2 linked regions of the Sus scrofa genome follow. The protein of the gene in region 2 purifies or fractionates together with the protein of the main gene of each other region. This does not show direct contact. Links are inferred from orthologs where the notes say so. Each region holds a gene or a part of one and is shown on either strand. Other genes may lie near its edges.

Region 1 (3,811 bases), on a different chromosome or scaffold from region 2:
GTTATCAATTCTTCCCAAATTGATAGACAGGTAGAATGCAATTCCTATATAATCACAGCAGGATTATTTTGTAGTTGGAGCAAGATTATTCTAAAACATCTAATTTTGAAAAAAGAATAAAGTGAGAGGAATAAGCCTACCCAATTTCAAGACTTTAAAAGTCAAGAATGCATGGTATTGGCAGAGGGATAGACAGAGAGCAATGAAACAGAATAAAGATCTCAGAACAGACCTACACAAATATGCCCATGGATATTTGACAAAGGGACAAAAGCGATTCACTGAGGAGAAAAGACAGCTTTTTTGACAAACAGTGTGCACCAACCAGACACTGATTAGCAAAGAAATGAACCTTGAACCAAATCTCATGCCTCACATAAAAATTAACGCAAAATGGATCATAGACATAAGTATAAAATCTAAAACTATAAGACATTTAGGAAAAGAGAAAAAAATCTCTAGGATTTAGGACTGGCAAAGAGTGCTTAAGACTTGATGTCAAAAGTATCATCTACTGGAGTTCTCTTGCGGCAGAGGGGGTTAAGGATCCAGAGTTGTCACTGCAGCAGCTTGGGTCGCTGCTGTGTGGCACAGGTTCAATACCTGGCCCGGGAACTTCAGCATAACATAGCCACAGCCACAGCCAAAAGAAAAAAAAAAGATATTGTTAAGAGGATAAAAAGACAAGCTACAAATTGAAAAACAAAACAAAAAACCAAAGTGCAACTTGCAAACCCCACGTCCCACAAAAGACTAGTATTTAGAATATATAAGGAACACTCAAGTCTCAACAGTTTAAAAAAAAAAACAAAAAAGCAACAACAATCCCATCAGAAAATGGGCAAAGGACAAGAACAGACATTTCAATGAAGAGAGAGACAGAAAATAAATGAATGAAAAGATGTTCAATATCATTAGGCAGGGACGTACACATGACAACTGCTGTGAGTTATTACTACACACCCACCAAAATGGCTAAAATAAAAAACAGTAACGCCACCAAACGTTGGCCACACGTGGGGAAAACTGGAACCTCCACACACTGCTGGCGGGAATATGAAATGGCACAGCCACTCTCGTAAGAGCTGGCAGTTTCTTAAAAAAGCAAATACGCAATGACCATACCACAGAGCCACCGCGCTCCTGAACATTTATTCCAGAAAGCGTGACGCGGGTCCACCGGAAACTGGACACCCATGTTTACAGCAGCTTCATTCGTAGTAACAATGAGCTGGAAGTGGCCCAGTGTCCTTCGGTGGCTGAACGGACAAGCTGCAGACCCCTGCTCAGGTGAAAAGAATGGATGCCCGAGGCACGCAGCAACCTTGGAGGGTCCCCCAAGAAGGCTGGGTGAAGAGCGCCCCTCTCAAGAGGCTGCACACCACGTGATGCCATTTACGTAACATTCTGAATGAAAAAGCCACAGCGGTGGAGGTAAATGGACGTCAAGGGACACGGGTCACCGCTGGGTACAGGAGGGGTCGGGGGCCAGAGAAGCAGCAGGAGGGATCCTCGTGGTGATGGGAGTGTTTGCCTCGACGGTACAAGGCCAGCGCCCCAGTGGAGTTGTGTCCTAAGGTGTGCAAAGCACCACCCTTGGAGGAAACCGGGTCAAGGCCACAGGAGGATCCGTAGGTCTGTCATTTCTTACAACTGCATGTGAATTTACAATTGTCTCAAAACTAAAAATCTGATGAAATGAAAAAGCTTCACACATACAAATTTTCAAGCTAAGAGATCTAAGCCAGATTGGGCAGTTCCTAAACGTCTGGGAATAAAGCCTCAATTCCCATTTGAGGCCTTGGGCCTGTTCTTGACTGGCAGGTCCCCAGGGCTGCTTCAGGCCCAAGCAGAGGGACAGCTCTGTGGAGGAGGCAGCACTGAAGGGGACCCTGAGGGCCAGGGGTAGGAGTCTGCCAAGTTCACCTTCTGGCTAAGGGAGAGGGGTGGCCCTGGGGCTCCAAGCAAAGGGACAGCGGGGACACACCCAGAGGTGGGGGCAGCAACAGCCAGGCCAGGCTGGACCACAGGCTAGTTCTAGGAGAGTAACGAGGGGCAGGGACAAGGGAAGCAGGTCCCAGGAAGCCGTACTGGCTTTATCTGTTTTATTTTTCTGTTGCCTTTTTAGGGCCACACCCATGGTATGTGGAGGTTCCCAGGCTGGGGTACAATTGGAGCTGTAGCCGCCGGCCTACACCACAGCTACAGCAATACCAGATCTTTAACCCACTGAGCGAGGCCAGGGATTGAAGCCACAACCTCGGGGTTCCTGGTCAGATTTGTTTCCACTGTGCCATGACGGGAACTCCCGTACCGGCTTTATCTTCAGCTCCAAGATAATCTGTTTCCAGCCCAGACGGCTTTATATTTTATCCTTAAAGCCAGACAGCGCTTGTGCATGACTCTGGAGTCAGGCATACGGAACGTCCTATATTTCGCTTTCAGATTCTTCCATGTGCCCCTGGAGGGCAGGACCACAGCCGGCCCCAGCCTTCCTCCCCACCTCCCCCCAACCTGGAGAGGGCAGAGCCTCCAGTGACGGCAGCCACACCTTTTGCAGGAGCCTCATGGTTTTCCGCTTCTCCACCCTCACAATGTCCTGGGAGCTTCATCTTCTTCTTCTTAGAATCTGCTTCAACTAAGTAATTCAAAGATTAAAAAAAAAAAAAAAAATTGCATTTATAACAGCAGCTGCCATGTAGCGAGAGGCCGCCACAGCCAGGCCCCCTCCACCCATCACCCCGCTCACTCCCCAAGCACCCAGCCCCAAAGGGCGCCTCCTCCTCCAAGGCAGGTGACAAGACAGGCAGATGAGAGGTGATGTCACTTGTCCAGACTAAGCCCAGGTCGGCTTGATCCCAAACCTTATGCTCCTTGGCTTGCTTGGGTCAAACTGCTAAGTCTACCAGGCTTCCTATAGACCCCAAACTCGAACCCCCAGGCACCGGCTAGCCACAGACCTTCCAGATCCTTCCGCTTTCTCTTCCCTGGACCGGTTTCTGCCGTCCTCTCCTGGTCCTCAGTGGCTCCATCCGCCTCCTGGGCGCGCTCGGCCTTGCTCCTCTTCTTCCGGCTCTTCTTCCCCGCGCAGCCGGGGGCCTCCAGGGCCTCCTCCCCTTCGGCCTCTGGCTCCTTCTTGCGCTTTTTAGGCTTCTGACTCTTCGAGTTCTCTTGGTGGTTTTCCAGTTTTAGTTCTTTCTTTTCTTTTTTCCTGTTCTTCTGCTGCCTTTCTTCTTTCCTTTCTCTCTTATTCTTCTTGGCCTCTGCACGCTCTTCTAAGGTGTCATTTGCTTTCGAGGATGGAGCCGTGGCGGAGTTTTCTGCCTGGGGTTGGGCCACTTGCTCTGGTGGCTGCTCATCTTGCCCTTTGTTACTGACTGGCTCCTTATTATTAAGCAAAACCAAGAAACACATAAACACTCATTCTAGATCCAGCTGTTCACATCACCGCATGTTATCCATGGAATAAATTCTTAAAACTATTCTTACTACTTACCACTTTATAACTGTGCCTTCCCATAGTTCAAATGGAGCAGCAAACAGGCAAATTGGAGAAAACCACCCTCAGCCCACATCCCTCTTTGCGTTTAATAGAGAGTTTGCATTCCATTGGAAGAGGAAGAATTTTCATGTCATTTTAAAGCCAGGCCATTCATTCTGGCTATCTGCCTCTTAGAAAAGAACGTGAGCACAGCGATGTGGCAGAAACCACCAGACTTATGCACCTGCAGGCCGGGGTTCAAGCTCCAGCTCTGTTCGTCACCAGCCAGGTGACTCAGGGCAAGCTAGTTATCGGCTCCAAACCAATTTC
Region 2 (4,258 bases):
TAACTAATTAAGCAGCCTGGGATCCAGGTTACCACAACACACATGATAATCAATAAAATCTCAAATTTCTGTCTTAAAATTTACTAAATTCTTTCCACTCTTCTCTATATTTGAACATTTTCATAACACTGTGTTGAAAAAATGGATTCACTACTACCATACTGTTGCTTTCTGAGAAGCACTTGTTCACCAACGGCAGCAGCAGCAGCTGGACACTAGCAAGGTGGTAGATGCAAACCATTCAGTGCTTTCCAATGTAAAAATGCAGATACTTAAAATTTCACAGGAAGCCACAAAGAAACAGGTCTTCTCCATCAACTTATATCTCGGTTTTTCTCTTTAATGGAACTTCAAATGTTCTGACAGTCTCTGCATTGATGGGTTTAACAAACTCTTAATGTATCTACAATTTTAAATACCTCACTCTTCCAAATGGCATCAGATACTTTACAACAATACTGTATTCATAGCACTGGCTATAAACCGTGAAACTGATTGAAAACAGGCAGCAAATACTTTTAGGATTAAAGAAAAAAAAAAAAGAACATAACAGAGAAACAAAAGAAACAAAAGGGGAAGTGTGTTTGCATTTGCTCAAGCAAATATGTGTTCAGTTGCTTTATCAAGAATATAGCTGCCAAAACCTTTAGAATTAAATATGCAAAACACCAAAATTCATAAATAGCAGCAAAATTTGCTATTTGAGTTCTAAATTAGCTTTCTTCACTACTACGCAATGAACAGTAAGCACTCTAAAAGCACTGTAGTGTACACAGCATTTCTCCCGGTCATACTTGGCTAGTTGAAAGGATGGCACATTATGAATCCGATCTATACAGACATCTTAATGTGTAATTTCTGTACAACCCTAGCATAAGCTATAAAACCAGCTTAAGATAAAGTAAATTCCTAGATTAGAAAATCGCTTTTCATTCTTGAAATTAATTCTGAAAATGGTGCCCCCCCACCCCAAATCCTACCTACACTGAATCCTGCCTCTTTCCATTTTATACACAGGTAAATTTCTCATCCTAATTTTTAGAACCTACTTTTCTAGATATCAAAGACGCCAAAATCTAAAAGAGAAAAAAAAGGTACACTTTATTTTGCATTCAAAAATATCCTAGTGTATTTTTTTCTGTTACCAGTTTAAATGTAATTTGTAAGGTGAACAAAATGCACACAAAGTGCATCAAACCAATTAAAAACTTTCCCCAACGTGCAATGACTAAATGGATTTTTCCACTAAAATTCAAATAATGCATCTGTGCATATCTTGCTAATTTTTTTTTACAGTCTCCTTGTAAAACATGAAGTGGCGAACATCATGGAAACAATGACTCCTAGCAAAAATGTCTTTATCATAAAAATACAGATTTTTATCTATTGCTGTCACATTTGTGGTCTCTACTTTAGTGGAATAAGGGCATTCCAAGGACCAGTATTAAGAGGTTCATAATGATCCATACAGTATAAGGCATTTTAATTTTGGTCTAAAAGGTTTTTCAGGGCAGGCAGAGATCAAACTTTGATGCTTTCACCCAACAATGAAAGCTTTTCCTTAAAAGAAACGCAGCATTATGGATAATATTACAAAACAGAAATGAAGAGGCAAAGATAACAGCGTCAGAAACATCATTCAAACATTTGAAAAAAATGCATAAATAAAAGCCCGATTAGTCAGGCTGAAGCAATCAGTGCATTTCCGATTTTCCAAGATGCTGTAAAGCACCACGGTGGAAATAACCTGAAACATCAAGGAGAGCATTCAAGAGCCAACTCGAGAGCTCATTCAATGGCTGGTATCTGAAAGACCATTTTTACAGAAAAACAAAACAAAACAAAAATTGCAGTTTCGGAAGATCAAACAATTCCCCACGCAAGCAAGCTGAAATAAATATACAGACCAAAACATATAAACACGATCCAAGAGGCAGTATTTCTGTCAGGAAAGTTACACTGGAGAGAAATAAACGAATAAGAGATGAACCGGAAGGGCACCTGAATTTGGCTGCACGATATTATTACATGCTTCGCACTGCTTTTTGCGGTTATTCAAAAGGAAACTGAAGGAATTTTCCAGTTGTTTCAAACCCAAGCGTAGAGAAAGGATTTGAAGTGTATAAGACCTGATATTACGTAGTAAGCCGACGAAGAGGGAAGGTTTTTCGAAAATAAAGGATTTTTCAACTTCCACGCAGAATATCGAAACGAAGAAATTTCAAAAGAATGCCGTGCTGTTCGTCCATATAATAAAGGATGGTACACATAACGTACCAGATCCTCTCCGTTATTTACTCCTCAATATACACTAGACTCCAAGATCTCCCTCTAATCAAGAGCTAGGTAAACTCGCAAAAACTATCTTCCTCTAAAACACTTTAGCAGGTTCCTTTCGGTCGTAAAGTCAGGGTCCCCTAATTGTCCTTTGCCAATCCTCCTGGATCCAGGGAAATATCACCCTACACTTTCCTTAATCCTCCTCCCCCCCAGGAGTTCGCCCTCTAACAGTCTTCGCTTCCTATCTCAGTTTCACCCCTAATTCCCCCCACCCCGGAGTTTTTCCTTATTCCGTAAGGCTAACCTTCCTGCCACCCTAACAATTCTTCTCACTCTTCCCAAACTGGGAGTCTCCCTCCTTCCCAAATATGTCCTAAGCGATGGCCAAGACTAAAAATTCCCAGTATTTTTTTTCCTCCTTAAATGTTGCGCCCCCTCCCCCGAAGTCTAGCCTAAAGCCTAACCTCTCCCTTGGTGGCTCCGCAGCACTTTTCTCCGCAGCCTCTCTGCCAAGCGCCTTCAATGAGCGGCGCTTCTGGGGTCCCTGACAATAAAGCGAGACCACCAAGAGTCCCCCTTAACAACGGGCAGGGGCGGCGGCCTGGCCACCGCCATCCTCCTTGTCTTCTCCCGCCGGGCAGAGAATAGGGGGCCCCAGGGTACCGTGGGGACTCACCGGCGGGGCCCAGAGGCGAACGGCAGGCGAGAAGCGCCAATGAGGGGAAAGAGAAAGAAGTCGGTCTCGGTTCTCCAGCAGCGTCTGGGAGCGGGGCTCTGTCGCCGGAGGTTGTTTCCTTTCATTCGAGGAGAGACGGGCTCGCGGAGCGCCCTTACGTCGCCCCCCTCGCACGCAGCGACTCACACAGCGTTAATACGTCTCGAGCGCGCCGCGGGCTCTGATTGGCTGCAGCGAGGGGGCAGCTGAAGCCGCAGAGCCACGACGCATGTGCAGAAGCCACCCCCGGTACGGCTCGGGGCGGCAGGCCCCGCCTCCTGCTCGCGCGCGTACCTTCTATTCTCCGGTCCGCCCCTCAACCCAGTGTTTGGGGGCAGGAGCCGAGGAGATAGAGAAAGAGATTCAAAGATATCGCCGTGGGTTGGGCGGAGAAGGGGCTGGGTTGGGGCTCGAAACCGTTGGCCGGGGGCCCTGGGTAGCCAGTTTTCGACAGTGATTCAAGTGGGTAGGCCTGATCCCTTGCACTTGTTCACCGAGGCCTTTTCACATCCATTATTTCATTGTACTCTCGTGGCATTCCTTTGAGGTCCTCCGTTCTCTCATTTTACTGCCAGGAAACACTGAGAAGCTTGTAGTGGAGTCAGTCTGCCTGGGTTTCAATCTTTGGGCGAATCGGTTTTCATCTCTGTGCCTTAAAGTCGTGTGTGTCTTTGAAATAAGGAGAAAAAACAGTACCTCACGGGTTTATTGTGAGGAAGAAATGAGACAGTGCAAGTAAACCGTGTATTAGCGTCCCTGGCGTGTAACAGGCCTTCTATAAATTATGAGATTTTCGTAATCAGAAGAGATAAGTGATTTTCTTCATAATTCGTACAGGTAAACTCGACACCTAAACTGAGTGCTTTCCTCTTTGATGTATGAAGCCGGACTGCTTGGGTTTGAATCTCAGCTCCTCCACTTCTCGGTCTATGACCTTGAGCACGTTGCATTACCTCTCTGTCCCTCAGTTTCAACACATCCAAAATGGATGTTTCCAGAAATGCGTTGATATATGTAAATCACAGAAAAATGTTTGGGCACATAGTATGCTCTAAGTGAGGGCCAGCTTTTGTTATTTTTCTGCTGGGCTCACAGACTGCAAGCCAGTGGTTAAATAAAAAAAAAAAAAATCCCCTAACAAACCAACGAATATTTAAAGATGCCCTTCAAGTAGCTATGTTTCCTGTTTGGGGGGGGGGCAGTGGCTTTCCATTGTTTTGGAAAGCCACTGCTGTTTCTATCGTGTTTCATTATTCTTTTTAT

What was found.
Region 1: the proteins of PHF6 (region 2) and LYAR purify together in Homo sapiens (affinity purification with mass spectrometry; 3 studies listed by BioGRID and IntAct, with this or other methods). This does not show direct contact. The link is inferred for Sus scrofa from reciprocal best matches to the Homo sapiens genes PHF6 and LYAR.

The regions. Positions count from the first base shown.
Region 1 is NC_010450.4:6,094,611-6,098,421, reverse strand, and holds part of LYAR (cell growth-regulating nucleolar protein), read right to left. Parts: intron 3,385-3,811; coding exon 2,961-3,384; intron 2,639-2,960; coding exon 2,552-2,638; intron 1-2,551. UniProt on the Homo sapiens protein: Plays a role in the maintenance of the appropriate processing of 47S/45S pre-rRNA to 32S/30S pre-rRNAs and their subsequent processing to produce 18S and 28S rRNAs. Also acts at the level of transcription regulation.
Region 2 is NC_010461.5:110,247,907-110,252,164, reverse strand, and holds the start of PHF6 (PHD finger protein 6), read right to left. Parts: upstream 3,075-4,258; 5' UTR 2,957-3,074; intron 1-2,956.